Sus scrofa: one gene and its partners. The protein of the gene in region 4 purifies or fractionates together with the protein of the main gene of each other region. This does not show direct contact. Links are inferred from orthologs where the notes say so. Each region holds a gene or a part of one and is shown on either strand. Other genes may lie near its edges. The genes, in order: MED18, MED31, MED16, MED9, MED8, POLR2B and CDK19.

What was found.
Region 1: the proteins of MED9 (region 4) and MED18 purify together in Homo sapiens (affinity purification with mass spectrometry; 6 studies listed by BioGRID and IntAct, counting the BioPlex papers as one, with this or other methods). This does not show direct contact. The link is inferred for Sus scrofa from reciprocal best matches to the Homo sapiens genes MED9 and MED18.
Region 2: the proteins of MED9 (region 4) and MED31 purify together in Homo sapiens (affinity purification with mass spectrometry; 4 studies listed by BioGRID and IntAct, with this or other methods). This does not show direct contact. The link is inferred for Sus scrofa from reciprocal best matches to the Homo sapiens genes MED9 and MED31.
Region 3: the proteins of MED9 (region 4) and MED16 purify together in Homo sapiens (affinity purification with mass spectrometry; 5 studies listed by BioGRID and IntAct, with this or other methods). This does not show direct contact. The link is inferred for Sus scrofa from reciprocal best matches to the Homo sapiens genes MED9 and MED16.
Region 5: the proteins of MED9 (region 4) and MED8 purify together in Homo sapiens (affinity purification with mass spectrometry; 5 studies listed by BioGRID and IntAct, with this or other methods). This does not show direct contact. The link is inferred for Sus scrofa from reciprocal best matches to the Homo sapiens genes MED9 and MED8.
Region 6: the proteins of MED9 (region 4) and POLR2B purify together in Homo sapiens (affinity purification with mass spectrometry; 4 studies listed by BioGRID and IntAct, with this or other methods). This does not show direct contact. The link is inferred for Sus scrofa from reciprocal best matches to the Homo sapiens genes MED9 and POLR2B.
Region 7: the proteins of MED9 (region 4) and CDK19 purify together in Homo sapiens (affinity purification with mass spectrometry; 7 studies listed by BioGRID and IntAct, counting the BioPlex papers as one, with this or other methods). This does not show direct contact. The link is inferred for Sus scrofa from reciprocal best matches to the Homo sapiens genes MED9 and CDK19.

Annotation. Positions count from the first base shown.
Region 1 is NC_010448.4:85,382,592-85,386,884, reverse strand, and holds the start of MED18 (mediator of RNA polymerase II transcription subunit 18), read right to left. Parts: upstream 2,801-4,293; 5' UTR 2,600-2,800; intron 2,039-2,599; 5' UTR 1,970-2,038; coding exon 1,897-1,969; intron 1-1,896. UniProt on the Homo sapiens protein: Component of the Mediator complex, a coactivator involved in the regulated transcription of nearly all RNA polymerase II-dependent genes.
Region 2 is NC_010454.4:50,727,303-50,731,480, reverse strand, and holds the start of MED31 (mediator of RNA polymerase II transcription subunit 31), read right to left. Parts: upstream 2,801-4,178; 5' UTR 2,525-2,800; coding exon 2,497-2,524; intron 2,273-2,496; exon of another isoform or gene 2,209-2,272; intron 1,641-2,208; coding exon 1,563-1,640; intron 809-1,562; coding exon 712-808; intron 1-711. Other genes in the region: C12H17orf100 (uncharacterized protein C17orf100 homolog), read left to right, coding at 2,996-3,367. UniProt on the Homo sapiens protein: Component of the Mediator complex, a coactivator involved in the regulated transcription of nearly all RNA polymerase II-dependent genes.
Region 3 is NC_010444.4:77,489,778-77,493,752, forward strand, and holds the start of MED16 (mediator of RNA polymerase II transcription subunit 16), read left to right. Parts: upstream 1-1,175; 5' UTR 1,176-1,319; intron 1,320-2,704; 5' UTR 2,705-2,749; coding exon 2,750-2,882; intron 2,883-3,441; coding exon 3,442-3,549; intron 3,550-3,807; coding exon 3,808-3,975. UniProt on the Homo sapiens protein: Component of the Mediator complex, a coactivator involved in the regulated transcription of nearly all RNA polymerase II-dependent genes.
Region 4 is NC_010454.4:60,931,200-60,935,263, forward strand, and holds the start of MED9 (mediator of RNA polymerase II transcription subunit 9), read right to left. Parts: upstream 2,801-4,064; 5' UTR 2,700-2,800; coding exon 2,479-2,699; intron 1-2,478.
Region 5 is NC_010448.4:167,859,993-167,864,162, reverse strand, and holds the start of MED8 (mediator of RNA polymerase II transcription subunit 8), read right to left. Parts: upstream 2,801-4,170; 5' UTR 2,770-2,800; coding exon 2,692-2,769; exon of another isoform or gene 2,630-2,691; coding exon of another isoform or gene 2,624-2,629; intron 1,143-2,623; coding exon 1,024-1,142; intron 1-1,023. Other genes in the region: protein SZT2, read left to right, coding at 2,946-2,972. UniProt on the Homo sapiens protein: Component of the Mediator complex, a coactivator involved in the regulated transcription of nearly all RNA polymerase II-dependent genes.
Region 6 is NC_010450.4:56,260,230-56,263,729, reverse strand, and holds part of POLR2B (DNA-directed RNA polymerase II subunit RPB2), read right to left. Parts: intron 679-3,500; coding exon 524-678; intron 1-523. UniProt on the Homo sapiens protein: Catalytic core component of RNA polymerase II (Pol II), a DNA-dependent RNA polymerase which synthesizes mRNA precursors and many functional non-coding RNAs using the four ribonucleoside triphosphates as substrates.
Region 7 is NC_010443.5:76,790,677-76,794,760, forward strand, and holds the start of CDK19 (cyclin-dependent kinase 19), read right to left. Parts: upstream 2,801-4,084; 5' UTR 2,485-2,800; coding exon 2,357-2,484; intron 1-2,356.

The DNA of each region.
Region 1 (4,293 bases), on a different chromosome or scaffold from region 4:
TATGCCAGAGCCACAGCAACGCGGGATCCGAGCCGCGTCTGCAACCTACACCACAGCTCACGGCAACGCGGATCGTTAACCCACTGAGCAAGGGCAGGGACCGAACCCGCAACCTCATGGTTCCTAGTCGGATTCGTTAACCACTGCGCCACGACGGGAACTCCCTGAATTTTTTAATAATAAAACATTTTTTAAAAAAGATGTTGAACTGGAGTTCCCGTTGTGGCGCAGTGGTTAACGAATCTGACTAGGAAGCATGAGGTTGCGGGTTCGATCCCTGGCCTCGCTCAGTGGGTTAAGGATCCTAAAAAACTGCCTCCCCCCAAAAAAAGATGTTGAACTATTGTGTGAGAAGAGACAGATGATCAAAAGTGGAAGCAATGCAATAAGCACAAAATTACTAAAATAGTTCAAAGGATGATAAACCAAGCCATTGCATGTGGAGAAAAGACATATTTAATATATATTTTGGAAGTAAAATAAACAGAACTAGAGATAAGCTATAGGTGAGAATAAAGTGAAAAAATGGAGATTGATTCCTGAATTCATAGCTTGAGCAACTGGTGAATGACAGGCACTTACTAAGATGGAAAAGACTGAAGGAGGGACAGCTGGAAGAATGAAAGTTAATAACCCTACTTCGTTCATATTAAGTTTTTTTTTTTTTTTTGTCTTTTCTAGGGCCTCTCCCCAGCATATGGAAGTTCCCAGGCTAGGGGTCTAATCTAGGAGCTGTAGCCGCCGGCCTACGCCAGAGCCACAGCAACGGTGGGATCCAAGCCGTGTCTGCAACCTACACCACAGCTCATGGTGACGCCAGATCCTTAACCCGCTGAGCAAGGCCAGGGATCGAACCTGCAACCTCATGGTTCCTAGTCGGATTCATTAACCACTGCACCATGACGGGAACTTCCATATTAAGTTCTTAAATGGATAATTCAAAGTCTAAACTTTTTTGCGAAACATTATAAGGCCTCCTGAAAATCATTACACTGAGTTTTGAGCTTTCTCATCTGGGCAAGTTACTTCAATTCTATTTCCTGATCTACAAGAATTAATAATAGTATCATAAAATTATCATATGATCCATTAATTTCACTTCTGGATATTTAACCAAAAGAATTCAAAGCAGGATCTTGGAAGAGATATTTGCATACACATGTTCACTGCATTATCCATGTTAACCAAGAGGTGGAAGCAACCTGAATGTCCAACAACAGAAGAACAGATAAAGAAAATGTGGTATATACATACTATAGAACATTATTCAGCCTTTAGAAAGGAGATCCTGTCTCGTGTGATAACACGGGTAAACGCTGAGGACATTATACTAAGTGAAATAAACCAGTCATAAAAAGACAGATACCATATGATTCCACTCATATAAAGTTATCTAACGTAGTCAAAATTAGAAACAGAAAGTAGAAAGGTTTGGAATTCTCCTGTGGTGCAGTGGGTTACTCATCCTGTGTTGTCATTGTAGCTGCCAGAGCTGCTCCTGTGGTGTGGGTTCGATCCCTGGCCTGGGAACTTCTATATGCCGTAGGTTCAGCAGAAAAGAAAATAAAAAAAGAAAAAAAAAAAAAGAAAGTAGAAAAGTTGTTGCCAAGGGCTGGGGGGAGGGGAAAGGAAGAATGAGTACAGAGTTTCAGTTTTGCAAGATGAAAAAGTTCTAGAGATTGGCTATACAACAATGCAAACATATTTAACACTACTAAATGTTATGCTCAAAATGTTTAATGCTATATGTTTGTGACCATAATTAAAGCCAAATTGAAAAAAAAAAAAAAAAGAGGTGCCAGAAATTATGTAGCCTTTGTATATTAGCCTTTCATCTCCATGGAACCTGAACAGAAAAGAGGAAATCAGGTAATCTAAGCTCCCTAGTTCACTTACCCTGCAGCAGGTACTCCATCATGTTAATGGTGCCCCCGGTGACAGGCATCATAGTGACTGGAGGTGCCTCCATGCTATCTGTTTAAGTTGAAAGCAACAGAACCGGATTCAGAGTCCCAGTCAAATAAAGCACAGGACACACCTGGAAAAGAGTTATGCTTGTTAATACATCAGAGAGATGGAGAGACACCAGATCTACCTGGGTCATTAGCCTTAACATCAAAAGATTCATTCATTCATCCAGAACTTTTTGAACAACTTCCATAAGTCAGTTTCAGGAATTGATGATACAGAAATACACAAAGGAGGCCTGATCATGGAGTTATAATCTTTCAGTCTCAAGGTCTGAAACCTTCAGTTTCAGAATTTCCTGTGCAATAAGCCATCAAACCGCTGACCCTGGGATTCAATGTCTTCCTTATAAAATGAGGTCGACATTTAACCCCCAAGGCTTTGTGGCTCAGATGACACAATAGCCGTGAAATAATAGAACTGAGAGGTGACTCCCCTTCAATTTGGAGATGAGGATACTGACACTTTGGGTGGGGGTTGGAGGGAAGGATACAGAGCAAGTCCATGGCAGAGATAAACCAGACAAAAATCTAGGCGTTCAAAACGCCTTTGAAAGCGAGCCAGACAGAAGTGCGAAGTTCTTCTGACGATTGAGGTCCTCCTACCCCACCATCGACGCGTGCCTACTCACACCAAAAACACACCTCCGCGCGTGTTCTAGCCTTTTCTGGCAAAGCAGGGAACTGAAGCCACCAGAGCACCTCGGAGCTTTTTAGCGATAATTAGCCCCCAGCACTGAACTTGAAGACCCCCACCCCCCGGTGGAGTGCAACACTTTCTCCCCTCCACTTCCGGCAAAAAGTCTCCGTCGCGCAAATCTTGACATCACCATTCTGCGACGTAAGGGTGCCGGGAAGGCATAAAAATCATCTCTGCGGCCTGGCAAGTAGAAGCGCATGCGCAAACTGCGATTCTGCGTGGAAGAGGGCGGCCTTCCTGAGCGCGTTCCTCGGGGCGTGAGGGGGACCTTGACATCAAAGGCAGTCCTCCCGGAAAATATTTTCCTTTTTTCAAGTGTGACGGCCTGGAGTTGTTTTTGTCAAGGAATTCTTTTGGAACTTACAGGGGGAAAAGAGAGCCGGGGGAAGAGAGCTGAAGAAAAAAAGAGATCATAAAACCAAAACTTCTTTTGGTTGAGTACCTGAAGATAAGAAGGAAAGACATCTTTTACTGTTTAGCAGACTGTTCTGAACAATTAGGGAACTCAGCAATACATTTGATATTTGTTCACTCTTCTGTGTTTATTTTACCTCAATTCAAAAATTTTGGGAGATAAGTAAATTCAGCTCATTTATTGAATGTTGCTTGTGTGTCAAGCATGTAAAATGCAAAGAATGGAGCTAGAGTATGGTGGTTGAGGCACTCCCTGGAGCGAAAAATTTAAGGGGCACCAAAACTCCTAACAATTCAAAAAATTGTAATGCAATCTTTTACGAATTTAATGTGGAAAAAAAATCCTTAATGAACAAAATATTGGAATTTTTGATCTTCACAGCAGCCCTGTAACCCAAGTATAATTATTACTTAATTTTACTAATGGAGAAACTTAGGCATCAAGAAATAACACACCAGGGAGTTTAGACTGGGGTACAAATTTAAGCAGCTGCCTGATTTCAGAACCCACCCTCTTAATTGCTACACATCTTTTTTTTTTTTTTCTTTTTAGGGCTGCACCCTGGCATATGAAAGTTCCCAGGTTAGGGGTTGAATCAGAGCTTCAGGTGCTGACCTATGCCACAGCCACAGCAATGTGCGATCTGAGCCGCATCTGTGACCTACACCACAGCTCATGGCAATCCTGGACCCCCAACTCACCGAGCAAGGCATATAGAAGTTCCCAGGCCAGGGTTGAATCGGAGCTGTAGCCCCTGGCCTACGCTACAGCCACAGCTGTGCCAGATCGAAGCCAAGTCTGCAACTACACCACAGTTCATGGCAATGTTGGATCCTTAACTCACTGACTGGGGCTGGGGATGGAACCTGCATCCTCATGGGTACTAGTTAGATTCATTTCTGCTGAGCCATGATGGGAACTCCTATACAGTCATTTATAATTCCAGTTTCCCCTGCTGTAATTTATACTGTCTTACTCATTTACATTTTTAAACTTAAAAAAAATATTACCCACATTTTATCTGACATTTCAAAAGTAGGATTAAATTAAAAAAAAAAGAATAGGTAAGAATTGGGTGAACAATATGGTAAAACTTGGACAAGACTCATGATTTATAGGGATGGAGAAAATGTTATAAGAATGTGAGGCCTCAGAGTTCCCACTATGGAGCAGCAGGAACGAATCCGACTAGGAACCATGAGGTTGCAGGT
Region 2 (4,178 bases), about 10 Mb from region 4:
AGCAAGTAAGTATCTTCAGTAAATGCTAAAGTTAGTGGGTAAAAGAATGAAATATGAAACAAGAAATTCCTACAGACTCAAAGTATTTCCTCACAAGATACATATTAAATACAAAAGGAAAAATAGTACTTGATATGGATAAAAATAACAGCCACCACCTCAACCAAGTGATCAAAATTAATATCACCAGTCATAGAATGAAGTGACTGCCTGTGACTCCTGACATACCAAGAAGGATATAACATCATTTCTGTGTCACTTATGGAGGGGAAAAAAAAAAGAAGACTTAAAACTCATATTAATGGAGACTAAGAAGACATGACAACAAAATGCAGCATCTGAGCCTAGACTGGATACTACACCAGACACAGGATATTGGTGAGACAGCTGGCAAAATGTGAATGAGGTCTGTTGGTTAGAATATACAGAAATTCTATTATTTCCAGTTGTTTTTAGGTGAAATTATTTCAAGTGGAAGGGTGGGGGTGGGGGTGGGGGTGGGGGTGGGGGTGGGGTAGGGATACCAGTGAGATTACTGCAATAATCCAAGTTAATTTAGAAACAAGTGTTTCATATTAAACTGGTGGAAACTAAAAGGAGCACAAAGAGGCAAAAAAATTTTTTTTCAAATGTGAAACTAAGACATCTAATTAAATATCAGTCTTTGTAATAAAGTACACATATATTTAGGACTATGAAAATTAAACTTACTTTAGATACTTGGCATATTCTGGCTCTTTCCAGTAAAGCAAGTACTTAAGATAATTAACAAAAGCTTTGTCTTTGAAGTAACCTCTTTGGGCAAGAACTGAAAGGCACAAAAAAAAAAAAAATCTGTAGAGCAAACCATCCTTGGACTACTTATTTCTGACTCCTGACATACATAAAGTAAACTTAACATAACATCCCCACCACTAAAAAACACTGAATTCAGGGAGTTCCCATCATGGCTCAGTGGTTAACGAATCCGACTAAGAACCATGAGGTTTCCGGTCCGATCCCTGGCCTCGCACAGTGGGTTAAGGATTTGGCGTTGCCGAGACCTGTGGTGTGGGTCGCAGACACGGCTCGGATCCCGAGTTGCATTGGCTGTGGCGTAGGCCAGGCGGCTACAGCTCCGATTCGACCCCTAGCCTGAGAACCTCCATATGCCATGTGAGCGGCCCAAGAAAATGGCAAAAAGACCAAAAAACAAAAAAAAAAAGACACTGAATTCAAAACACAAGTCCCAGTCTGCTCAATGATAATATATAGCAGTAAAAGTGTAGCAATAATTCCATTCACTTGAGAATGTATAAAAGTAGATAAAGTCATCCCAGGGACTCTGCAGGGGATTGGTTCCAGGAGACTCCACAGATTACCAAAATCCACAGATGCTCAAGTCCCTTATATAAAATGGTATAGTGCGATGACAGTGACAGTACTGTCACCTTCTGTATCTGAGGATTCAACCAACTGCAGTTGAACTGTGGATACCAAGGGCCAACAGTACTATGAATTGCAACTCTTCGGTCAGAAATCATCAATATTTACTCAATTCAACGGGGTACTGCTCAACTTACAATTAAGGTAATTTGGGTTGGCTAAACACTGCACAAATTCCAACTCCAATTGAAACCGAAGTCGATTCCCAGCATCATCTAGGAGAGAAGATATCAAAAATCATCCAAAATAAACGTCACTGAATACTGATTTGTAGAAAGAAAACATCAGTAATAAACCTAATGCTGAAATACACTTCTTCATAAAGAAGGGCATGTGATATTTTCCTAAACTGGGCGTGGGAGGAGAAAAACCTTTCTTAGAAGTCTAAGGAAAGCAAAGCCCTGATTAAAAGGAGTAAGACGTTTCTCTAAACTTAAAGACAAGTCATCAAAGAAAGCAAGAACACACAGGTCAGAATGTTTATGACCCGTGAGCTACCATGTAAGAAATTTAACAGTGATCACTGGGATAGATTAGGGTAACTGTGCCTTAATTTTAATAATGCATTACAAGTAGCTAGGTGATAAAGTTAGTAAACAAAAACAAAGTGAATGCTAAAGCCACCAAGAAAAAGTTCAGAATGCAAGCTGACAGAGGCTACGGCGAGTACACAAGATCAAGAAGCGTGTGCTTAGGTGAGAAGCGTCGTTGGTAGTATAATAACACAAATGTGTCGACGATGTTTTAACTTATGCAAGCTCGTTTGAGACGCAGAAAACAAACCGAAGATTGGTTTAAAATTGAAATTCTCTTTCTCGTTCTCGCCGGAAGCCAGTGGTGCCGGTGTCTGAAGAGCAATGAAAGAAAAAGTGTTGGCCAACAAATTAAACTCTGAAAAGGCCAAACTACCTTCACCCTTCCGACACTAGAAAAGTCCGCGGCCCTCCCGGTCCGAACTCACTCTGCCTGAAAGAAGTCAGGCCTGAAAGGAGAACGCGGGGGAGCAGGAGCGGGGGTTTGGGCCCAGGATAGTTCTACTTGCGAAGACGCGTGGCTCCGAGCGCGACTCACCTGTCTCCATAGCGACGGCGGCGGCCATCACGAGCAAAGACGCTAACCCACAAGCAGCCCAGCACAGCAAACGCCCGGAGCCGCGGGGGACGTGCCGGAAGCCGCCGCTCCCTCTTCCTGCCGCGGGGCAGTGTGGGACGCGAGGGCGGGATCAGCCTCGCGCGGGGGCGGGTGGCTCCGCCCATCCGCCCGCCCGCCCCGGCCCAGCCCAGCCCAGCCCCTCCTCCGCTCGCGGGAGCTCCTGACAGACGAGGGGGCGGTGCGCCCGCTGACCGAGCGCCTGAGGGGCCCGGCCCAGAGTTGCCAAGGAGTTTTCACGTCCCTCCCCACCCCTCAAGGAAACCTTGTCCCCAAGTCCCTGTGTCGTGGCACCCTCGTCTAGCGCTGTACCTGCGTCACACAGGCATGTGACGTCACTCGTCACCCTGTGACGTAACCCGTCGGGGAGCGTGAGGCGGTAAGGCCTCCCGAGGCCCGCTCGGTCCGTTACCCCCGTGGAATGGCCTCACCCCTTCGGGGAAAGCCCTCGCGGCCCCGGGCGGCGGCCGCCCGCTACGAGGAGACGTCGACGGTACGCGTAGAGACCTCGTCCCACCGCGTGGAGACATCCTCCCGCCAGGTGCAGACGTCCTCCCGGCGGGTGGAGACCACCCAGCACTGCAGCGAGGGGCCCTCCGTCTCCCCCTCTGGGAAACGGCTCCCTCGCGTCGTCGAGGTGTCCCAGCACGTGGAAACCTGGCAGCGCACGGAAACAGCCTCCCGCCGCGTCAGGGCCTCGTGCCTGCGGGTGGAGACGACTCTGCACCGCGTAGAGAGCCCGCCGCGGCAGGAGCAGCCGGCAGGCCGCCAGAATGTCCAAAAGGCCCCATGAGATGCTTCCTTCTCCAGGGCCACGACAGGGCCATGGCCCGTGGCCAGTGCAGATCTGCCTCCAGTTCGCAGCCGGCCTGCTGCCAGGTGGACCGATTCCCTTTGGTTTCCTGGAAACAGTCCACAATCCACAAATCAATGTAAGAAAGAGCCAAGCTGTGGTTTCAGGACTCAGCCAACATTCACTGACCCAGCTGCACCTTGGACTATCCTGCCTTTGACCCTGTGAACTGTTTTAACTTGAAACCAGCACAAAAAGTTCCGGGCCCCGGATACTGTATGAATTGAGTCGATGGACAAAGAGGCTCTTTGAACCTCTCAGACAGGTGAGTGTGGGGGTCCTTAAGCCCTGAATGACCTTTGCTGCTTCAAATTTAAGGACAGGGAGCAAGCAGAAATCATGACCAGTGGATTGATTATGTGCCCGCTGAAAACCTGGGGGGCAGGGATCAGACTTTCCTTAATTAGTTAATTCCTTAATTAGTTGGCCTATGTTTATATTTCAAAGCACGCAGTTCTTTTCTTTATGCTGAGCCCTTGTGCATGGTACCCCCCCCCGCCCCCCAGCCACACATGTTTTAACATAGGTCAAGTGCAGTTCAAAATGGAAAATGAAGGTCAACCATCAACAATCAAGAATAATTTTATGGGGGAAAAAACTGTAATTGCAATGTATACATGTAAGGATATCCTGACCCCCTTGCTGTACAGTGGGAAAATTAAAAAAAAAAAAAAAAAAAGAATAATTCTAGAAGGCAAACCTGACCTGTGATTTGAGGAGATGCAGGGGAGGGAGCCTGCATATTGAGCAC
Region 3 (3,975 bases), on a different chromosome or scaffold from region 4:
AATCCTGCAGGTGACATTTGTCTCTTTCCCCCTGTGTATTTATTTATTTAACTGTTTATATCAGTACAGACGCCTGGACATTCGCTTTCTTGTTTGGGTTACAACACAATATCCTTTCATTTTGTTGCTCAGATTGTTCCAGGTTTGGATACTGGGAGCTCTTTCAGTGATTCCTGTCTCACTGAGGCGGGGTATTTATTTATTTGAGCACCGGGCTCCTCTGCATATTTGTGCTGCCTTCTAGAACCAGGCATTTCGCCCAGGAGCCCAGTTCCTTTCACTGGGGCAACGTTTAGAAACCAAGAACTGGGTGCTAAGTGTGCTGAGTTCCATTTTAACAGGCATTTTAAAAAGTTTTAAACACAGATGCTAAATAATGGAAATCCAAATGGCTCAGAGGACATCAGGAGATACTGGATTAACCAGCTTGGAGGCTCCCACCTGTGAAGGGGACCGAATTTCTGGTGCCTGGAGGCCAGTCTGGACTTCAGGGCGCGGGTGTGGTGGCTCTAGGGGACTCCACAGGCCTCCTGCACTGACACACAGACTCGGTCCTGCGGCTGCCCCTAGCTGGCTGTTTTCTTCCCACTCCGATTCCCTGAGCCCGGCCCCCATACCTTTGCCCAGGCGCTAACTGCAGCCCAGTACACCTTCCCCGAAATATCAGGAGGTCTTCCTAGAAAAGACTTTCCCAACTGGGGAGAGCCCGACAGAAAAAGAACCAGCTTTTGATAGCGGGAGACGAGTGAATCCAGAGAAGCCCACGACTGGTTAAGCCGTCTTGCTTACGGGGAAAAGAAGCAAGGAAAAGCAAAATATGGAACGCTTCACGAATTTGCGTGTCATCCTTGCGCAGGGGCCATGCTAATCTTCTCTGTATCGTTCCAATTTTAGTATATGTGCTGCCGAAGCGAGCACGACACCGGGGTTAACCCGACCGCTATTTATAGGGCGGAGTATAAAATACTTTACGCTAAGGGTGAATTCCGTTTAGAAGAAAAATACTCAGTAACTTGTCTCTTCTTTTCTGATATCAGTGCAACAATAGCTTAACAGAATGAGGCTACTCACTGAAGTTGAGAAAGTGTTCTTTCACGAAATATAATTCGGGTGGCTGTTGGGAAACTATCAATGTATGTATGCAAATTATATCGGTAGTGGGGCGGGGCCGGAGCCGCTGCTGTCCCAGAAGTCTCCGGGAAACGGCCGCGCTACGTGGGCGACTCGTTGATCCGGGGAAGATGGCGGTGCCGTAGCCGCGCCGATAGGTGGAGTGCAGGCCGTGGCCGTCCGCTCGGCTGGGAGAACAGGCCGTCCCGGTGAGCGGGGACTGGGGACTTGGGCGTTGGGCCGGCCTCAGGACGGTGCCTACGGCCGCGGCGGCGACTAGCGGGCCGGGGGCGGGGCCTGTAGGGTTAGAGGGCGGGCCTGGAGAGCAAGGGGTGCTGGGTACGCGCCCGGGAGCACGTTGGGCGGGGGGGGGGGGTCGCGACGGAAACTTGGGGGAAAGTCTGAGGCGTCTGGGAATCCGGGCACTCCGAGCTGGGGAAAATCGGGGCTGGGCCTGGAACCTGATCAGGGGTTGGGAGGTCTAAGGCTGTATTTTCCTGGGGAGGGGCCTGGGGATTCTGGTGGGCTGGAAGGCGGCCACTGGAGACCAGCACCTGGCTATTGGGTAGTGGTCCCTGGGGTGGAGCCTGAAGTGGCAAAAAGAGGCGGGACTTGGAGGGTTGGGAATTTGGAGGTGGTTATAGGGAGGCGAGTTGTTTGGGAGACCCTGGGGAGAGAACAAATTTAAGCTATCCCTGGGAACACAAGGGGCAAATTGGGACTGGGGTCTGGAAAGCAAATATTGTAGGGGGCGGGGCTGGAGAGCTTTGAGGGCAGAGCTTAAAGACTGCTGAAGGGGCCTCTGGGCAGGGCCTTGGGGTTCCTGGCCAAGGCTTGAGGAAGCGGGAGGCCTGGGGGAAGTGATTGAGAAAGATGGGTTGGTCATACAGTCTCATTGGGTTCTGGTAACGGTGAAAATAACCGTAATCAATGCCCGGCACATAGACAGCAGGTGGAAATGTTCATTGTTTCCGTTGCGGTTGTTACCTTTGAAGTGCTGCACCAAGCTGCTGCCTGCCCCCCATCCTGCCTCCTTGCCTCTGCCAAAGGCTTCTCTAAGGATAGAGCAGTCCCACCTCTCCTCACTGCTTCATGGTCCCCATCATTGTTCACCTGGACTGGCATGGTCACCCCCACCCTGTCCCTAAGCCTTTCTCTCCAGACAGCCAGAGGGGTGTGTGAAACATAAGAAGGTCTCAGCTCCCCTGGGGCTCCCACCTCACTCAGGGTGAAAGCGCAGGCCCTGCATGACCCACCCCACCCTCACTTTACCCCTCCCTTCCTCTCACTCAGTTCCAGCAACATGGGCCCCCTGCCGCTCCTTGATGACCCTGGGCTTGGTCCAGCTTCTGGGCCTTTGCACTGGCTGTTCCCCCTGCCTGGGATATCCTTCCTCCAGGCTGCATTCCTGGATCCCTCACTTCTACGCTGGGAGGCCTCCCTGGCCATCCATGTGTCAGATATAGCTCCCCTGACATACACAGAGCAGGGATTGAGTCTTTGGGTCCCTGCAGTGACCCACCATCCAGCACTGCGCTCTGGGCCCTGAGGCCCTGCATGAACGTCTGTGACAAACTGGTCCTCCCTCCCTCAGAAGCTGGTGACCGCCCTCTGTGTATGACCTTGGCAGCCGGGCACCATGGACCTGGCGTACGTCTGTGAGTGGGAGAAATGGCCCAAGAGCACGCACTGCCCTTCGGTGCCCCTGGCCTGTGCCTGGTCCTGCCGCAACCTCATCGCCTTTACCACGGATCTCCGAAACGACGACCAGGGTGCGCCCCCTCCTGCCCCCCGCATGGGCTCGTGCCCCAGTGCCCATGGACCTCCAGGCCTGTCCAGTCTCTCAGGGTTCCCTCATGTGTGATGAGGGGTGGTGAGGGCCCAGAGGGCACCTGGCACCAGGGGGCACTGGAATCACCCCCAGGGGATGGACCTGTCCAGATGAGGGTGGTCCCCAGCCCCTGCTGAGGCTCCTGCCTGAGTTTTCCAGACCTTATATGTCACTGCTTGGCTTCTGAAAGCCTCTGAGCTGCAGCCTGCCTGCTGGGCCTGTGTTCTCGCTATTGTTGAATGACACATGCTCCTAGAGGAAAGGAGAAAAACACAGACATTTTGGATGAGGGGAAGAAAAAAAGGCATTACCTTCCCCAGAGAGCCACTCTCTGTTAGCATTTTGGGTTTGTTTTTTTCCAGTTCCATTTTCTATGTCTCTTTTGAAAGTGGTTGTAGCCTCTCTGGAGGCAGAGTCATGGACCTGCTCCCATTACCCCTGGGGTCATCAGGCACTCGAGGCCCTGCCATTGTTGCCGCTGACCTGGCCCTCCTTTGCAGACCTGACCCGCATGATCCACATCCTGGATACGGAGCACCCCTGGGACGTGCACTCCATCAACTCGGAGCACAGCGAGGCCATCACCTGCCTCGAGTGGGACCAGTCAGGTGAGGGTGGGGCTCACCCTTGATCTCAAATCCCAAGCTTACTTGTTCTGTCTTTTCCTGGTCATGTCCCCACTGTCCAGAACTAGGATGAAAGCCCTGGCCTTGTGGCTTTTCGGCTCCTTCTCCTCCCATTTTTGGTGACCAGAGTCGTTCCTGGGAGACATGTGTGCCATGCCCCTGCTTGTCTCCCATCCCAGGCCCCAGATGTACTGGGGGGGGTGCTTTGTGACACAGGCTTGCCCCCCTCTTCCCCTGCAGGCTCCCGGCTGCTGTCGGCCGATGCTGATGGGCAGATCAAGTGCTGGACCATGGCAGACCACCTGGCCAACAGCTGGGAGAGCCCAGTGGGCAGCCTGGTGGAGGGGGACCCCATCGTGGCCTTGTCCTGGCTGCACAATGGTGTGAAGCTGGCCCTGCACGTGGAAA
Region 4 (4,064 bases):
CGAGAGAAGATACAATTACTTTATGCTCCATTAGTAAAAAGCAGGCCATAAATAAATACTGGGGAACATATATTTTTTTTAAGTGAAAAGGCTGAGCGGACACTGCGTGAGTGATGTACCGCCTTCTCAGGATGAACCAGCTTCTTTCCTGGGGAGCCCCCACGTCTCTGGGGTGTCAGGTCAGACAGCCTGTCAATCTAGAAGCCGGGGCTGGGTCTCGGGTCTGTCTGAGGACTTGCTCTCAAGCGCTCTTCTTAGGTTGGCCTCTCCCTCCAGCTCCCGAAATGGGCAAGTGTCCCCCCTCCAGAGACCCTGTGCATTATTCTTTCCTAAAAACAAACCTTGGGAAAGTGTGAGCCTTTAATTATCCACCGAGACAGAAGGGGGACCACCTGTGGGCCTGGGGTCTCGAGAGGACTCAGGGGATCCGCTCCTAAACAGCCGTCCAAGCAGCCCTCCCATCCTCAGTCCCGTCACCCTCAATCACCTCTCACCGGAGGCCCTTGGCCCTGCCGCCTCCTGAGATCCGGAAGGGGCCGCGGCCAGAGGCAGCTGCTCCCGGCCGCTTCCTCGGGCTGGGAGGTGGACTAGCCCCCGGCCCCCCCCTACGGCAATCATCCCCTCTCGTGTCCTTTTCAGTTTTACGCTTAAAAGACACTCCTCACTGTCCACTCAGAGGGGACAGAGCAGGTCACACACGGGACGGACACAATGTCTTTCACAGAATGTTCTTGAGAACACCCCACAACAACCTTACGATTTCGGTGTTATTGCTCCCGGTTCACGAGAGAAAAAGATTCAGAGAGGCCGTTTGACCGAGGCCGCCCCACCAGCACACTACAAAGCTACCTCGGAAGCCCTCCTCTGAGGTTCATTGCTATTATTCACCTCTTAGCGACACGAAAAATTACGGCCTAGAAAGGCTCTGTATTTACCAAGATTACAAGGCAAGCAAGCATTAAGACTATCTCATCTCGGAGTTCCCACCGTGGCACAGCGGAAACGAATCCGACGAGAAACCCACTGGCCTCGCTCAGTGGGTTAAGGATCTGTGCCGTGAGCTGCGGTGTAGGTTACAGATGCGGCGCAGATCCTGAGTTGCTGTGGCTGTGGTGTAGGCCGGCGGCTGTAACTCCGATTGGACACCTAGCCTGGGAACCTCCATATGCCACGGGTGTGGCCCTAAAAAGAAAAAAAAAAAAGAGAGAGAGACCATCTCACCTCGCAGCCCATGCTCTCTCTAGTGCACCTCAAGGATCCGTCTTTAAGGCCAGCCCAACCCGAGGGTCCTATCAGGATGCCAGAGTGTGTACACTGTGTGTTTTAATTTTCCAAAAACCAGAACAGATAAATCTGGGTTCATCTGGACAACGCCCTTCCAACCCAGCACCGCCCTGGGACTGCAGGGCGTGCAGGTGGGTTGGGTTTCCTATGTCACTGCTGCCTACGAGTGCTACTTGCTGATCACAGGCTCACGAGAAGAGTCGGCCTCACCAGATAAACAGTATGTTCACACCAAACGAAGCCAAGTTCTAATGTGAGAAAAAAAAAGGCTTTGCAGTTGTCTGAAAAGTGGTGGAAGCGTCAGAGCGTCCCAGGCAGTGACTCTCTTCCACCTAAACTCAAAACAAGCTGGGCCACTGACAACACTTCACTGTTGTGAGCGGCAATTTCATTTCAGCAAAACATCCAAGAGGATGCTGAGGTCCACCTGAGTGTTAGAGCAGAAGGAACATTGTTTTAATTTGCTTTGTTTTGGGTTTTAATGGCTAAACAGACGTGATAAGCTGAGGGGTTTACACCTTGTTACCATGGGGACATAAATAACAGTAAAAACCATTTGGGCAAATGTGGGGACCCTGGCGATTTTGGTGGGGTTTTCCCCCCTCTTTAAGGGTCAGTCTGAAAAACCGGGTCCCCTGAAGACCGGCCTAAAGGAGACATCACCCCTGCGGCATCCTGTTGGGAACTGTGAGTGCGACGGGCTGTCTAGCGGCCATTCCCTGCCATGGCCTTATCATCACCCCTAGAATCTCTTCGCGTTATGGGTTATTCCCGTTCACGACTCTGTTCCTTCTAACTGGTGAGCAACGTGGGCGTGAACCGTATGCCCTTTCAAGTGTACATCCCCTGGCGCTTAGCAGTGTGCCACCCGCGAAACATGACCCACATCTGCTGGAAAAGACACCGAAGCGAGCGTTCTGTCCTTCATTACGTGTGAGAAAACAGCCCCGAGAAGCCTGGCTGGCTCCGGCCACAGGGACGCTGCACCTGTGCACGTGGTGTCCAGGTCGGCTTCGTTTCGAGGACTCCGCCCGGCCAGCACGGGGCCTGGCAGCCCTGAGCTCAGCGTCCGCTCAACTCGGGGGGAGGCTCGCGGTGGTCTTCGCGAGGCCGCCTCCCCGGGACCGGCGGCGCCCCGGAGCTCGGCCCGCGACGGACAGCGGGGGCGCACTCGCGGGCACCCCGGGCTCTTACCACTTGATGACGTTGTGAACCAGCGGGAGGAAGGAGCAGTTCTCCTCCGCCTTCACGACGGCCGGGGACGGAGGCCTCGGCGCGGGCTGCGGCTGCGGCGCGGAGACCGGCGTCGGCAGCTGCGGCGTCGGCAGCGGTTTCGTTTCGGGCATCGGCGGCTCGGTTGGCGGCGGCAGGGCATCCTCGGCCTGCCGGCCGGCGGGCACCCCCACTGAAGCCATGGCGCCCCGCGTTTCCGCGGCGGGTCGGCTGGGCCGCGGCTCAGCGCGCCGAACGCGTCGCGGACTCTGCACGTCACCACCGTGCGCCGCGGGGCGGGACCCAGAGGGAGGCTGGGAGCGCGCGCCCGGGGACGCGGGGCGGGGCCTGGGCGTCCGTTACTAGGCAACGGGCGGCCGGCCGGGCTAGGGTGCCCTGCTTTGGGTTGTGCGTTGAGGCAGCTAAATTGTTAATAGAAATAGATATATGTCAGAAATAACATTTTATTCCTATTCGCGTTACAAAGAGGATCCAAAATCAACAAGTGCGGAAGACTTGAGATAAATAAGGCCTCTTGAAGAGCGGAGGCCCCTGCCCAGCACCTGCTGGGGTCAGGCCCTGGGCCAGCGGGCGTGGAGAGAATCCCGGCGGAGGGACCCACGGTTCCCACCCGCGCAGAGGCCTTCAGGGGAGAGGCCCTGCGCCCGCCCTAAGGACGCAGGAACAAAGAAGCTGCGACGAACTAAGTCAATACTTAATATGCATCTTCTCCATGACTGCTGTACTGCCTGCGGGGAGGGGTGGGAGTTGTCCCAACTTCCACACGAGGCTGAAGGGGGTTAGTGCCAGGAATAAACATGTCCTAGGAGAAGTCAGCGGCACGTACTCTCCTCACCTGTGGGCCCCAGCTCCTTAAGCCTCCAGGGCTCAGCGTCCTCACCCCAAAAGCCTTATATAGTTCAGGAGCCTAAACTGCTTCCCACCTTCCCACACGTGGCCGGCCTCCAAGCTCGCGTTTGCAGGGGCACTCACTCCCTGGGATCTCAGGCCAAAGCCAGGGGAACTCTGGTGGGTTTGTGGTTATGCTCCTCAAGACAAGTCCTCCCTGGCTGTGTAATAAATTCCTGGGCGATGAGAACACACGTTCTGAGCTTCGCTGGTGAGTGGAAGCCCTGCCCTTCCTCAGAGCTTTAGAGACACAAGGAGACTGCAGTCAGGTGCCAAGATGAGAAGCAGCATTGAAGAGCAAGGCGGCCGTCCTAAGGAAAACGTCACTGCAAATATTTCTAGATGCATCCAGAGGGGTCTGTGAAGGCAAGTCCTGGGGAGGCTTGGAGTGGGTGCTTTGGGCCTCAACACTGCTTTCTTGTAAGAACTACCCAGAGAACCCCTGAGGGAGCGCATGGAGGGGGAGGTGAGGACTGCTGCCCAGGGGCCTCTCCGCCCAAAGGAAGTGCCAGGGTCCTGGTGGAGAACCGGAAGGAGGACCAGAGGCACTGAAGGGGCTTCCGTGCCTGGAGTCCTCTGGGGAGGTACGGAGGCTGTACCGGTAAGAGGAATGACCACAGCTACTCTGCATCAAATAGATACAGGGGACAGAGCAGAGT
Region 5 (4,170 bases), on a different chromosome or scaffold from region 4:
GCTGAGGTTCCATCTACCTGTGGTCAACCACAGTCCAAAAATACCATATGGCAAATTCCAGAGGTAAACAGTTTATAATTTTATTTTATTTTATTTTTGTCTTTTTGCTATTTCTTTGGGCCGCTCCCGCGGCATATGGAGCTTCCCAGGCTAGGGGTCCAATCGGAGCTGTAGCCACCGGCCATCACCAGAGCCACAGCAACTCGGGATCTGAGCCGCGTCTGCAACCTACACCACAGCTCACGGCAACGCCGGATCGTTAACCCACGGAGCAAGGGCAGGGACCGAACCCACAACCTCATGGTTCCTAGTCGGATTCGTTATCCACTGCGCCACGACGGGAACTCCATTTATAATTTTAAATTGGGCACTGTTCTGAGTAGTGTGATGGATTCTGGCTTCATCCTGCTCTGTCCCAGCTGGGATGTTAATCATTGCTTTGCCCAGCCTATCTTTGCTGGTACAATACCCATCCAGTTAGTAGTATATGCAGTACAGGGTTTGATACTATCAGTTTGAGGCACCCAGTGGGGGTCTTAAAACTTATCCCCCACCAATAAAGGGGGGCTGCTGTATTTGACTGGGGTGAGAACAGCGGCAAAACAGGAACCATAGCTCCACTGTTATCACTCAAACTTCAGAAACTAGCTAAAAGCCTCCTTTCCGACCTAAATATAGGATCTACATTTTCAAAGTAGACTGGACCTAAAAGACTCAGCCACGTCCAAGGCAAGAGATCCCATATGAATACTGAAGTGGGAGGACCTCCTCCCAGAGACATCAGAGGGTGAGAATCAAAAGCTAGAAAGACCCTGAGTTGGAAAACTGGGCATTTCTCTGCTTCCTTACCAGGGAGGCCCAAAGCCAACTTCAGTGTTACACGTTGGGAAACTCAGCTCTTTTTAAATCAAAAGATGTTTGCAAACTGATAAATGTTTACATCACTGGCAATGTCCTATCCACCTGGTGACCTGGCCCCCCCCACCCATGGAGCCCTCCCCAGCTTGCCCTGGCATTGCTTACCAGGTCAGCCGGTCATACTCGTTCTCCAACTTGTAAATGAAACTCCCCAGTGAGTTCTTCAGATCAGCCACTTGACTCAGGAGTGCATCTAATGATGCCTCAAGCTGCTTCTCCTCCCTCTGCACCAACAGGAATAGGATGTTACTCAGATGAGGGTGAGGGTGGTGCCCACAGAGGCGGGCTGAAAAGCCAGGATGACAGTGCGCAACACCAGTCATGTGACACAGGATCTCACTGGCACAGGGAGAGCCAGGCTGTTTTCTATCTTTGGTATCAGGGTTATAGACAGCACCAACCCTCAGACCTTTCAACCCACTCGCCTGGCCTAATTCCTCCTACCTGCTGGTTCCTTTCTCTCATCACCCCTAATCCGTGCTTGGTTTCCTATCACATACACTATACTCTCACTCACTGAGCAGACACAGCAGACCTAATGCCTCGGGGTCATTATCTCTTGTGCCACTCTGCAGCATAGGTACTCTGACTTCTGCTGTCCTAAACCTGCCTTGGGAGCCTGGCTGTTCCTGCCAATGACACAATTTCTGAAAAATCTACCTACATGTGAAGGTTCCTTTGAACACCTGCCACTGCCACCACCACGGCCATTTCCCCCTTTCCTCTGTCCTCAGCATTTGCTGTTTCAAGCTCTTTGCTGAATTAACCGGCACTCTTTTTTTTTTTTTTTTTTTTTTTTGGTCTTTTTGCCTTTTCTAGGGCTGCTCCTGTGGCATATGGAGGTTCCCAGGCTAGGGGTCTAATAGGAGCTGTAGCCACTGGCCTGCGCCAGAGCCACAGCAACGCCAGATCCGAGACTCATCTGCAACCTACACCACAGCTCATGGCAACGCCGGATCCTTAACCCACTGAGCGAGGCCAGGAATCGAACTCGCAATCTCATGGTTCCTAGTTGGATTCGTTAACCACTGAGCCACGACAGGAACTCCATTAACCTGCACTCATTTTATCTCTGTGCCAAAATTCCTGTGCCCCTTTCACAAGCTTAGTCAAGCTATAAAAATTTACTGACAGACTACCAGGTGCAAGAAACTGACAAATGAAAAACAAAAACAAAAATGCACATGCCCCTAAGTACTAAACTATTTTAAATGCTGGTGAGGGGTTGTCTGCCAAGCATTTCCTGTCCATCTTGGTTCTTCATCTTTACTTCATTTCATCCTTAACTACCACAGGGCACAGGCTAGGAAGGAGGTAGAACTGCCTTGCGAACTCGCCAATATACAAGACAGTAGCCTTGATTCCGGGTTCCAGCCACTGGCCTCAGACTATATTAGTTTGGCTTTTGTCACTGCGGCCCCACAATTCCTTCCACTCTCGGGCTTCTCTCCAGTTATCGATCCTCTGCTGTGTCGGCAGCCAACAGCGGCCATTCAACAGCCCGGGCCGGGACCTGAGCCAATGCGGCACCTTCTTGAGCTGTCTTCGTTGGACTGCATCTTAACCTTCCCAAACGACCGACCCTTTCCCACCCCCAGCAAGTCGGTGCCGCCTTCCCCCTCCCAACTCAGGGGCCGTCTCGGTCTCCCAGCCGGGCTCCACCCCCATCTGTCATCAGTGCCGCTCCCTCTCCAGTGGGCCTCGCCTCCATCCCGCGTCCCTTTAGCCGTCGGCCGATGACTCTACCCACTCCTCTCAGCTCCAGCTCCTCACTTTCTCCAGCCCACTCTCCGTCCCGGTACCCCGACGCTGAGTAGCGGTCACGAGCGCCAACCCGGTCCTCACCTGCATCGCGGGAGCAGAGGTTGCGTCAACCACTTCCTTTTCCGGTTTCCAAGTCAGCCAATCAGAAAGTTGGGATTCGATCCTCCCATTCGTTTCCGGTTCCTTCGGGCGAGAGGCAGCCGGGTCAGGGGTCACGAGCAGAAGGGCTTCTCTGGCCCGGGCCGGCGCGGGAGGGCTGTGTGATGGCCTCGGAGCGCCCGGAGCCGGAGGTGAGGGGCGGGCGGGCGCAGCGCTGGTCCCCGAGATCCGCGGGGGAGGGGCCGGCGGCCGGGTGCGGCCGTGGCCTCCTCCGGGTCTGGGGGCGGCGGGGGTCGCCCCGAAGGCCCGGCAGTTGCATCTCCTCACCCCGCGGTCCGCACTTTCCTTGGGGGGCTGGAGGAGAAGCTCGTCGCTCTGTTCTGTTTGCTCAGATTTCATTCACGTCGCCAACTCTGGGGCCCTCGGGTTCTCCGACTTCCTAATGGTATTAACAAAGCCTTTATTTTGATTTTGCAATTTGATTTTACTTTGCTGGTGCTTCATATCTTCACGTATTAGAATGACATAATCAGCATGAATTAATTTAGTTCCAGCGCCATGATTTTGAAAGGCAGCTTCGGTTTCGTGGGGAAAATACATATATAGATTCTTTTTTGATTCGGAGTGAAACGTCGTTCACTTCGTTTGGTGCTGCCCTGTAGCCATCTCTGCAACTTCGGGCAAGGCTTGACTGTTTCCTGCTTCTTAAACACCTGTCTTAGGGTGTTTTGTGAGGATCCCATATTTTAAACCAGAAAATGCACATGAGGTATCCCTTAGTTGTTGAGGACCATGCAAGGAACTTGATCTGCATTGTGTTATTCAGACTTGTGCAAGGAAGGTGGCTGTGTCCACTTTCATTTATATGTAAGACACTGGAAAGTGAGAGACGTTAAGTACCTTACCCAAGTGCTACCCTCAGCCAGGGAGTAGCAAAGTTTTGAAGTTAGAAGATCTGGTTTGAAAAGAACATCACCAGGAAAGGTGCCCAGTATTAGAATATGATAGACGGGAAGGGTGAGAGACGTGTGAAATGAAATGACACAAAAGAGTTGTCATAACATATCGAATGCGTGCCGCGTCGTCCTGCTTTACCCCATCAGTTGATACCCTCAACCCGAAGAAGCAGACGTGATTATTTATCCCCATTTTTCAGTTGAGGAGACGGAGGCACAAAATGTTAAGGGTAACAAAGTTACACAGCTAGTTAAGTAGCGGAGCTAAGACTCCCAAACAGGTGGTCTGCTGTAGTATGGTGGTCATAATGTTTCCAGTATAAGCAGTACAGTTGCCACAGGATGGTAAATCTCCTGATCCTTGGCATGTGATGTAACAAGACCCAGGATTAAACGTGGTTGTAGGAAACTACCCTATTTAAAAGAATCAATG
Region 6 (3,500 bases), on a different chromosome or scaffold from region 4:
GTTTATTATGCTCTGCTCTGCTCTAAAGAAACCACCTCAGGGGCTAAGGGAGTGAATATATAAAAACAAAGAGTAGGAGTTTCCGTCATGGCACAATGGAAACGAATCCAACTAGGAACCATGAGGTTGCAGGTTCGATCCCTGGCCTTGCTCAGTGGGTTGATGATCCGGCGTTGCCATGAGCTGTGGTGTAGGTCACAGACTCGGCTCAGATCCCACGTTGCTGTGGCTGTGGTGTAGGCAGCAGCTGCAGCTCTGATTCAACCCCCAGCCTGGGAACCTCCATATGTTGTGTGTGTGGCCCTAAAAAATGACAAAAGACAAAAAAGAAAAAGAAAAACAATATGATCACCAATGAATACAGGGTTTCCTTTTAGGTGAATGAAAATATTCTGAAATTAAATAGTGGTAACTGCACCATCTTGTGAATATACTAAAAACTACCAAAACACATACTTTAAAATGGTTAATTTTATGGCATGTGAATTACATCTCAAGTTTTCTTCTAACTGAATGTTCTTACCTGTAATTGTTATATTCTCTCTCTTTCAACTGATCAATATGTCTCTTCTTCAAAAGTAGCTTTTGTTTCTCCACAATGAGAAGTGGCCTACAAATGCGACCTGCATCTGTATAGATCCGAATCTCTCTCTCACGAATATCTCTGATCATAGAAACCTATAAGTAAAAGGAAAAAAATACCCATGAACTTTTTATCATTAAGGCTTAGCTAATAATACAAAAAGATGAATAAATTAGCATATAAAATGAACAAATCTTGATTTATCATTGTTCAGATACTAAAAACCTTTGTATAATTTAAAATTTCATGTGAGATGAATATCTAACACCTTGGTAATCAAAGAGATGAGTAACATCTGGTTATAATGTCATGCAAAATAAAAGTGAAGAAAATATAACTGATATCACAAACACTAGCATAGGACAATTTCTTATCTTGCCTCTTTGATAATTACATATACTTCACCTTGTAGCCTTTCAATAACCTGCCCTGTATCACTGTGCCCCCATCAGTCTTTCCAGGTAATAAGCCTGGCTTCTCAAAATCACCTATAGGTGTTGCCCTAAGAAGCAAAAAAAAAAAAAAAGAATTTTCCACTGATCATATGTTGAAATTGTAAAAATTTTTTTTTTTTTTTGCCTTTTGACAGCCACACCTGCAGCATATGGAGGTTTCCAGGTTAGGGGTCGAATCAGAGCTATAGCCACTGGCCTACACTACAGCCACAGCAATGGAGAATCCAAGCCATGTCTGCAGCCTACACCACAGCTCACAGCAAGGCCAGATCCTTAACCCACTGAGCAAGGCCAGGGATTGAACCTGCAACCTCATGGTTCCTAGTTGGATTTGTTTCCACCAAGCCATGACGGGAACTCCAAAAGTATAAAATTCTTTCGGCCACATGCATGGCATGCGGAAGTTCCTGAGCCAGGGATCAAAATGGAACCACAGCAGTGACCCAAGCCACAGCATTAACACCAAATCCTTAACCACTAGGCCACCAAGAAACTCTGAAACTGTAATTCTTTTTTTTTTTTTTTTTCTGTCTTTTTGCCATTTCTAGGGCTGCTCCCATGGCATATGGAGGTTGCAAGGCTAGGGGTCTAATCAGAGCTTTAGCTGCTGGCCTACTCCAGAGCCACAGCAACATGGGATCTGAGCCGCGTCTGTGACCTACACCACAGCTCACAGCAATGCTGGATCCTTAACCCACTGAGCTAGGCCAGGGATCGAACCCTCAACCTCATGGTTCCTAGTCGGATTTGCTAACCACTGAGCCACAACGGGAACTTCTGAAATTGTAATATTTTTGATGTACTGGGTCAAATAAAGTATATTTAAATTATTTTCATATTTTTTAAACTTTTAAAATATGACTATTAAAAACTGTAATTACATATTTAATTCACATTATATTTCTACTGGACAGTGCTAGAAAGTATCAAAAGAATTTTCAGATAGTGTTCCCTAGTGGCTCAGCAGTTTAGGGCTCTAGCACTGCTACTGATGTGACTCTGGTTGCTGCTATGATGCAAGTTCAATCCCTAGCCCAGGAACTTCTGCATGCTGTGGGCATAGCAAAAAAAAAAAAAAAAACTGGGGGGAATGTACAATTAAGAACATAATCAATTATTTAAAGCACTACAAAAAATGAAGTGCCAATACATATAAGATATGTCAAGAAGTAAACAAATAATTTCCTGTGAATTATCTAGATCTAAAATATATTCTTAAAAAGCCAACCAAGAAAGTAACTGCCAATGAGTTGAGAAATAGAAAAACAGATTGGTATTTCTCTAAAAAGTACTTTTAAAAAAGGGAAATCACATCTGGATACCTTTATTAAAGAAAGGATTGGGTCTATTTAACTAGAAAAGGTTTGGATTACTCAGTATAAAACCAATAGTAAATTGGAGTTCTCATCGTGGTGCAGTGGTTAACAAATCCGACTGGGAACCATGAGGTTGCAGGTTGGATCCCTGGCCTTGCTCAGTGGGTTAAGGATATGGCATTGCTGCGAGCTGTGGTGCAGGTCACAGACTCGGCTCAGATCCCACGTTGCTGTGGCTCTGGCGTAGGCCGGTGGCTATGGCTCCAATTAGACCCCTAGCCTGGGAATTACCATATGCTGCGTGAAAAGGCAAAAAGACAAGAAAAATAAAAAATAAAACCAATAGTAAATCATAAAAGTTTGATCAAAAACATCAAGCTGTCCCAAAGCAAAAAACCAAAAGCCAAGATACAGAAAATGTTCCACATTTCTCAGCCCATTTCCTGTCCTTAGAAAACAATCGAGATGAAACACAGTGAGCAAAAACACCATGTGCGGCAATCTCAAACGTCTGCTTTGAACCTTTAAAGAATTTCTAATAGAATATACAATATTCTATTAGAACATAGCTAGTGGAATACAGCTCTATTGCCTTAATAGGAGGACATAAATTGAGCTGTGTCTCCTCAAAGGCCAAACAGTATCATCAGTCCTTCAAGAATACCAAAGAGGAGTTCCCGTCGTGGCGCAGTGGTTAACGAATCCGACTAGGAACCATGAGGTTGCGGGTTCGGCCCCTGTCCTTGCTCAGTGGGTTAACGATCCGGCGTTGCCGTGAGCTCTGGTGTAGGTTGCAGACGCGGCTTGGATCCTGCATTGCTGTGGCTCTGGCGTAGGCCGGTGGCTACAGCTCCGATTCGACCCCTAGCCTGGGAACCTCCATATGCCGTGGGAGCGGCCCAAGAAATAGCAACAACACAACAACAAAAAAAGACAAAAAAATAAATAAATAAATAAATTAAAAAAAAAAAAAAAAAAAAAAGAATACCAAAGAAAATAGGTCTTCTTGAAGGACTGATGACAGGAGCCTGATAGGTCCAAACTGAGGCGAAAGTCAGAAATGGGTAACATGGTGACCTCTGGTTATCAGAAAATAGGAAGGTAAAGAAAAAGTAGGAGACTCCTGAAAAATATACACAATGCTCC
Region 7 (4,084 bases), on a different chromosome or scaffold from region 4:
ATGTGTATCACAATTTAGAGCCATCACTAAAAGATTTCTGTTCTTTCAAATCAATGGTATCAATGAACATAAAACTAATCCTGCTACCCACCCACAAGACATGTGGGTGTTTAAAGCCTCAAATCTCAACTAAACTCTTGGTTCAAGACAAAAATCTTTACACTGATTTTTCTCACACATAATTTAGTGATTTAAAGTAATGCTTTCAGGAAGGTCCCTTGTGGCACAGTGGGTTAAGGATTCCGTGTTACCAGATCCAGCTGTGGTGCAGGTTGAAACTGTGGCACAGGTTCCATCCCTGACCCAGGAATTTCCACATGCCAGGAGCACAGCCAAAAAAAAGTAATGCTTTCAGATTTGAAAAAGTCTTTTTAAAGCATAATATTTTGAAGATATCCAAACTGATCTTTACTAGGGCTTTATTAATTCTAATCAAACAAATTTCACTCAAGGAAAAAAAGTGTATTCAAATCAAGAATTTTATTAGAGGGGAAAATATTCAAAAAGAACAAAGAGAAGCAGGATTTAAATTATCTGATTTTTGTTGTAGCTCATGCTATTCAAATACAATTCATAAGTAGAATTTTTAACTTTTCTCAAAAGCTGCCTTAAAAAAAAGCTATTTTAACAACAAAATTAAAGTACATTTTTTTAAAATTCCAGGCCAAGTACATTACAAAGTTAGTGTGAGGAGGATGAAGAACACTTCTGATTTGTTTTACAGTGTCAACGTCCAAATAGTAAAGCTAGATGTGCTTTCCCCAAATGTATCTGATAAGATTCCCAGAGAGACACCAGTATAACAAGGAGAGTGGATATTCCAAAAACAAAATACAACTTAATTATAGTACTTCACATTCCAAGATACTCAAGCAGGGACATATGGCAATTAACTAAAAGAATCATGAGAAAGGTTTACAAACAACTGAATTCTAGGGGACCCGTTCAGTTATAACAAGAGGAAAAAATTATATGCAATAATAACAACCCTTTACAATGTTAAGTACTTTGCAGTTTTCACCATACTTTATGATAAACCAGTTTATAAAGTTGTGCTTTCTCGTTCCCTGTATAAAATTAGTGCACACACGTACACATCCCCTACCTACTTTGGTCCTAGAGTTCATCAATCAACCTTATCAATTACAACAGAGTGTGGAAGAACGATAAGCAGCACTTCAGATCTTAACTAACGTCACGGTGACGGATACTCTGTTCATTCAGCAATTTTTCGCTATGATCCTAAAACCTCTCTTCCACACTTTGATCGTCTTCAAACACTAAGTGGGACAGGCAGATGTTCCCCGGCTCCCTAACTCTGGGGAAGTGGAATTTCTGCCAGGATGGGCCCTGCGGTGATGACTTGTTTAAACCTACCCTTCTCAGGCAGGGAGCTGGTTCCACCTGTACTGGAGAGCCCTGTGCCCTCCTAAGAGAACAATCAGGACGGGCTTCCTATGATTTTCTTTCAAGTCCAAGGAAAACAAGGGTTCTGGCCCAACTCCGTGCCACTTGAATTCCGTTATGGGTAATCTAGGTGCCCAATAAACCGCAGCACGCAGCCACTTGGCAGAGGATGGAGTGGAGAACCTAAGAATACCCAAGGGGAGGCTGCTGGAGGATGGGATGGGTTACCACACCGAACTCTTAAGTTCTGCGGGCAAAACCTGGTTGGTCTCTCAGAAGGTCTACATTCAAGGGAAGGTGCGGAATGGAGAATGTGAGAAAGCAAGATCGGAGGTGGGCGAAGCGAGGTGGAGAAGTGGCCGGGTTTTCCACAGGGACTGAAGGGACTGCGCGGAGGGGCCAGAGCGCTGGCTCGCCCCCAGGGAAAAGGTGCCCAACGGCTCAGACCCGTGAGGCTGGCGAGGACCCAGGCACTCGGCAGCCCGACGGAGACCTCGGCGAGGTTTCAAACCTCCGCCCCCGGGAGGCGCTCAGCCGATTGGAAGTTCCACCACGACCGTCACCAACCGAGGGCCAGAGCGGCAACTCCTCCGCAAGGCTCTCCCAGACCTCTGCGTCTCCCCCGGAGACCAAAGCCCCACAAACTCCACATCCAACCGAGGTCCCAACTCGAGTCCCGCCGCCAGTTCCATGCACGCGGAGGGTGCCCTCCGGGACGAAACCGACACCCCGCGACGGGGCTGCGCCGCAGGAGTTTGAGGGGCGCGACGGGGCCCGCGCGAGCGGGCAGAACCCGTGTCCCTCAGAGTCCGCCTCGGGACGCGGCCCCGGGACCACGTCCGCCTCGCCCCCCGGGCTTGGCCCGTCCGGGCTCCGACCCACCCATCCCGCGCGGTCGCGGGCAGGGCGAGGACCCGAACGAGCCTACTCCCCCCGCCCCTGCTCTTACCCATCTTTTCGCCTCGCCTTGTAGACGTGCCCGTAGGTGCCGCGTCCCACTTTGCACCCTTCGTACTCAAACAAATCCTCCACCCGCTCCCGCTCCGCCGCCAGCTTCGCCTTGAAATCATAATCCATTGTCTGCTTTCCCCATAGAGGCACCGGGACGCGGGGGCCGCCGCCACTCAGTCCCTCCTCCTCCTCCTCCTCCCCCCCGCGACCGCCGCTCCACTTCTCCAACAACCGCCTCTGGGGCGCGCGCGCGCCGCCCGCCGCCCGGCAGTCCGCCTTCAGCAAGGGACTCCTCGGCGGCCACGGCGGCCACCTCCTCCACCTCCTCCTCCTCTGCGGCGGCGGCGGCGGCGGCGGCAGCGGCGGCGGCTGCGGCTCCTACAGGCACCCTCAGTCCCGCCTCCCCCTTCATTTCCTTGTTTTGGAACCTGGTGGGCCGCGCCGCGGCTTCCTCGAGCTCATTAACGAACCATCCCTCCCGCCCCCGAGGCCGCGGAGACTCCTGGGAAATGTAGTTCCATAAACCTCAGGAACAGTTGAGTGATGCGGTAGAATGAAATACAATACCCAGGTTACCTTGGGCCGCTACAGCCCCGCCTCTACAAGACATGCACGCTTGCGCACTGAGGCCGCCCCTCCCCCCTCAGGTAGCTTTGGACTGCTAGTTCCTGTGAAGGTAGAAAGTGCAAACTTGCAGTGTGCTTTCTGCGAGTCTGTGGAAGCTGGTGGAAAGAAGGTCCTTTTTCTGGTGTAAGGAAGGTACTCTATTATAACTGCCCCCAGGAGAGGAGGAGAGTGGAAAGTATTTAACAAGGGCTTTGCCCACGAGTTTCCTCCAGTGGTTTGCTAGACGAGGACTGTGGTGAGAGCAGTTGTACTGCAGATTGTTGTTTGTTTTTGGTGGCAGTTGGTCCGCCTCCCGCCCCGTCCCGCATCCAACAGCTCATTGGCGGAGACTTAAGAATGACGTCCTCGTTGGTGCGTGGGTATCCCTGCTTTGGCTTCTTTCCGGCTCTTGATTGGTAATTGGATGTGCTAGGTTCTTTCTGATAGGTTAATCTTTTTTCTTTGCGGTGCAAAAACCGTATTTCAAAAACTGAACTTTTAGCGGTTTCCTGGTTCTACCGTCGGCGTCGGCCTGAAAACCTGTAACTTAAAGGTCCTAGCAGCCAATCATCCTTGGCGCTCTAGTCGTAGTCTTCTCCTAACATAAGTGATTCCCGTAGCCAAGCTTTTGGCCAACTGTCTGAGGACTATTAAAGTGCCTGCAGGATGCAGCAATTTAAAAACAATCATTTGTATTGGATTGTAAAGAGTGTCTTAAGGTTTATGCCTAACAGTGACGTTTTCCTAGAATGTTTAAATCTCCTTAAGGTGAATGTTGGTTCATTATTGCGTGCCTAAAACGTATCAGATGCTTGGGATACAATCTTAAAAATCATTGGTGCTATGATAGGACTTAACATACCACATTCAGTGAAAGCACAAGAGGAGGAAATAGTCAATTCTACCTAATGTGGTAAGGAAAGTTAAGAGTGACTTGCCTGCTAGGTTTTGGAAGAAACTTGGAAAACTGGATGGGGAGGGGGTTCATTTATTTATTACAACAGTAAGTTTCCTGGAAAATTTCCTCAGATCTTGAAGTAAATCGTGAAGTATCTGAGTGTCTGTTATTTCCAGGTACTATGGTAAGTGCTGCAGATAACCAGCTAAAATTGGTCTTTTC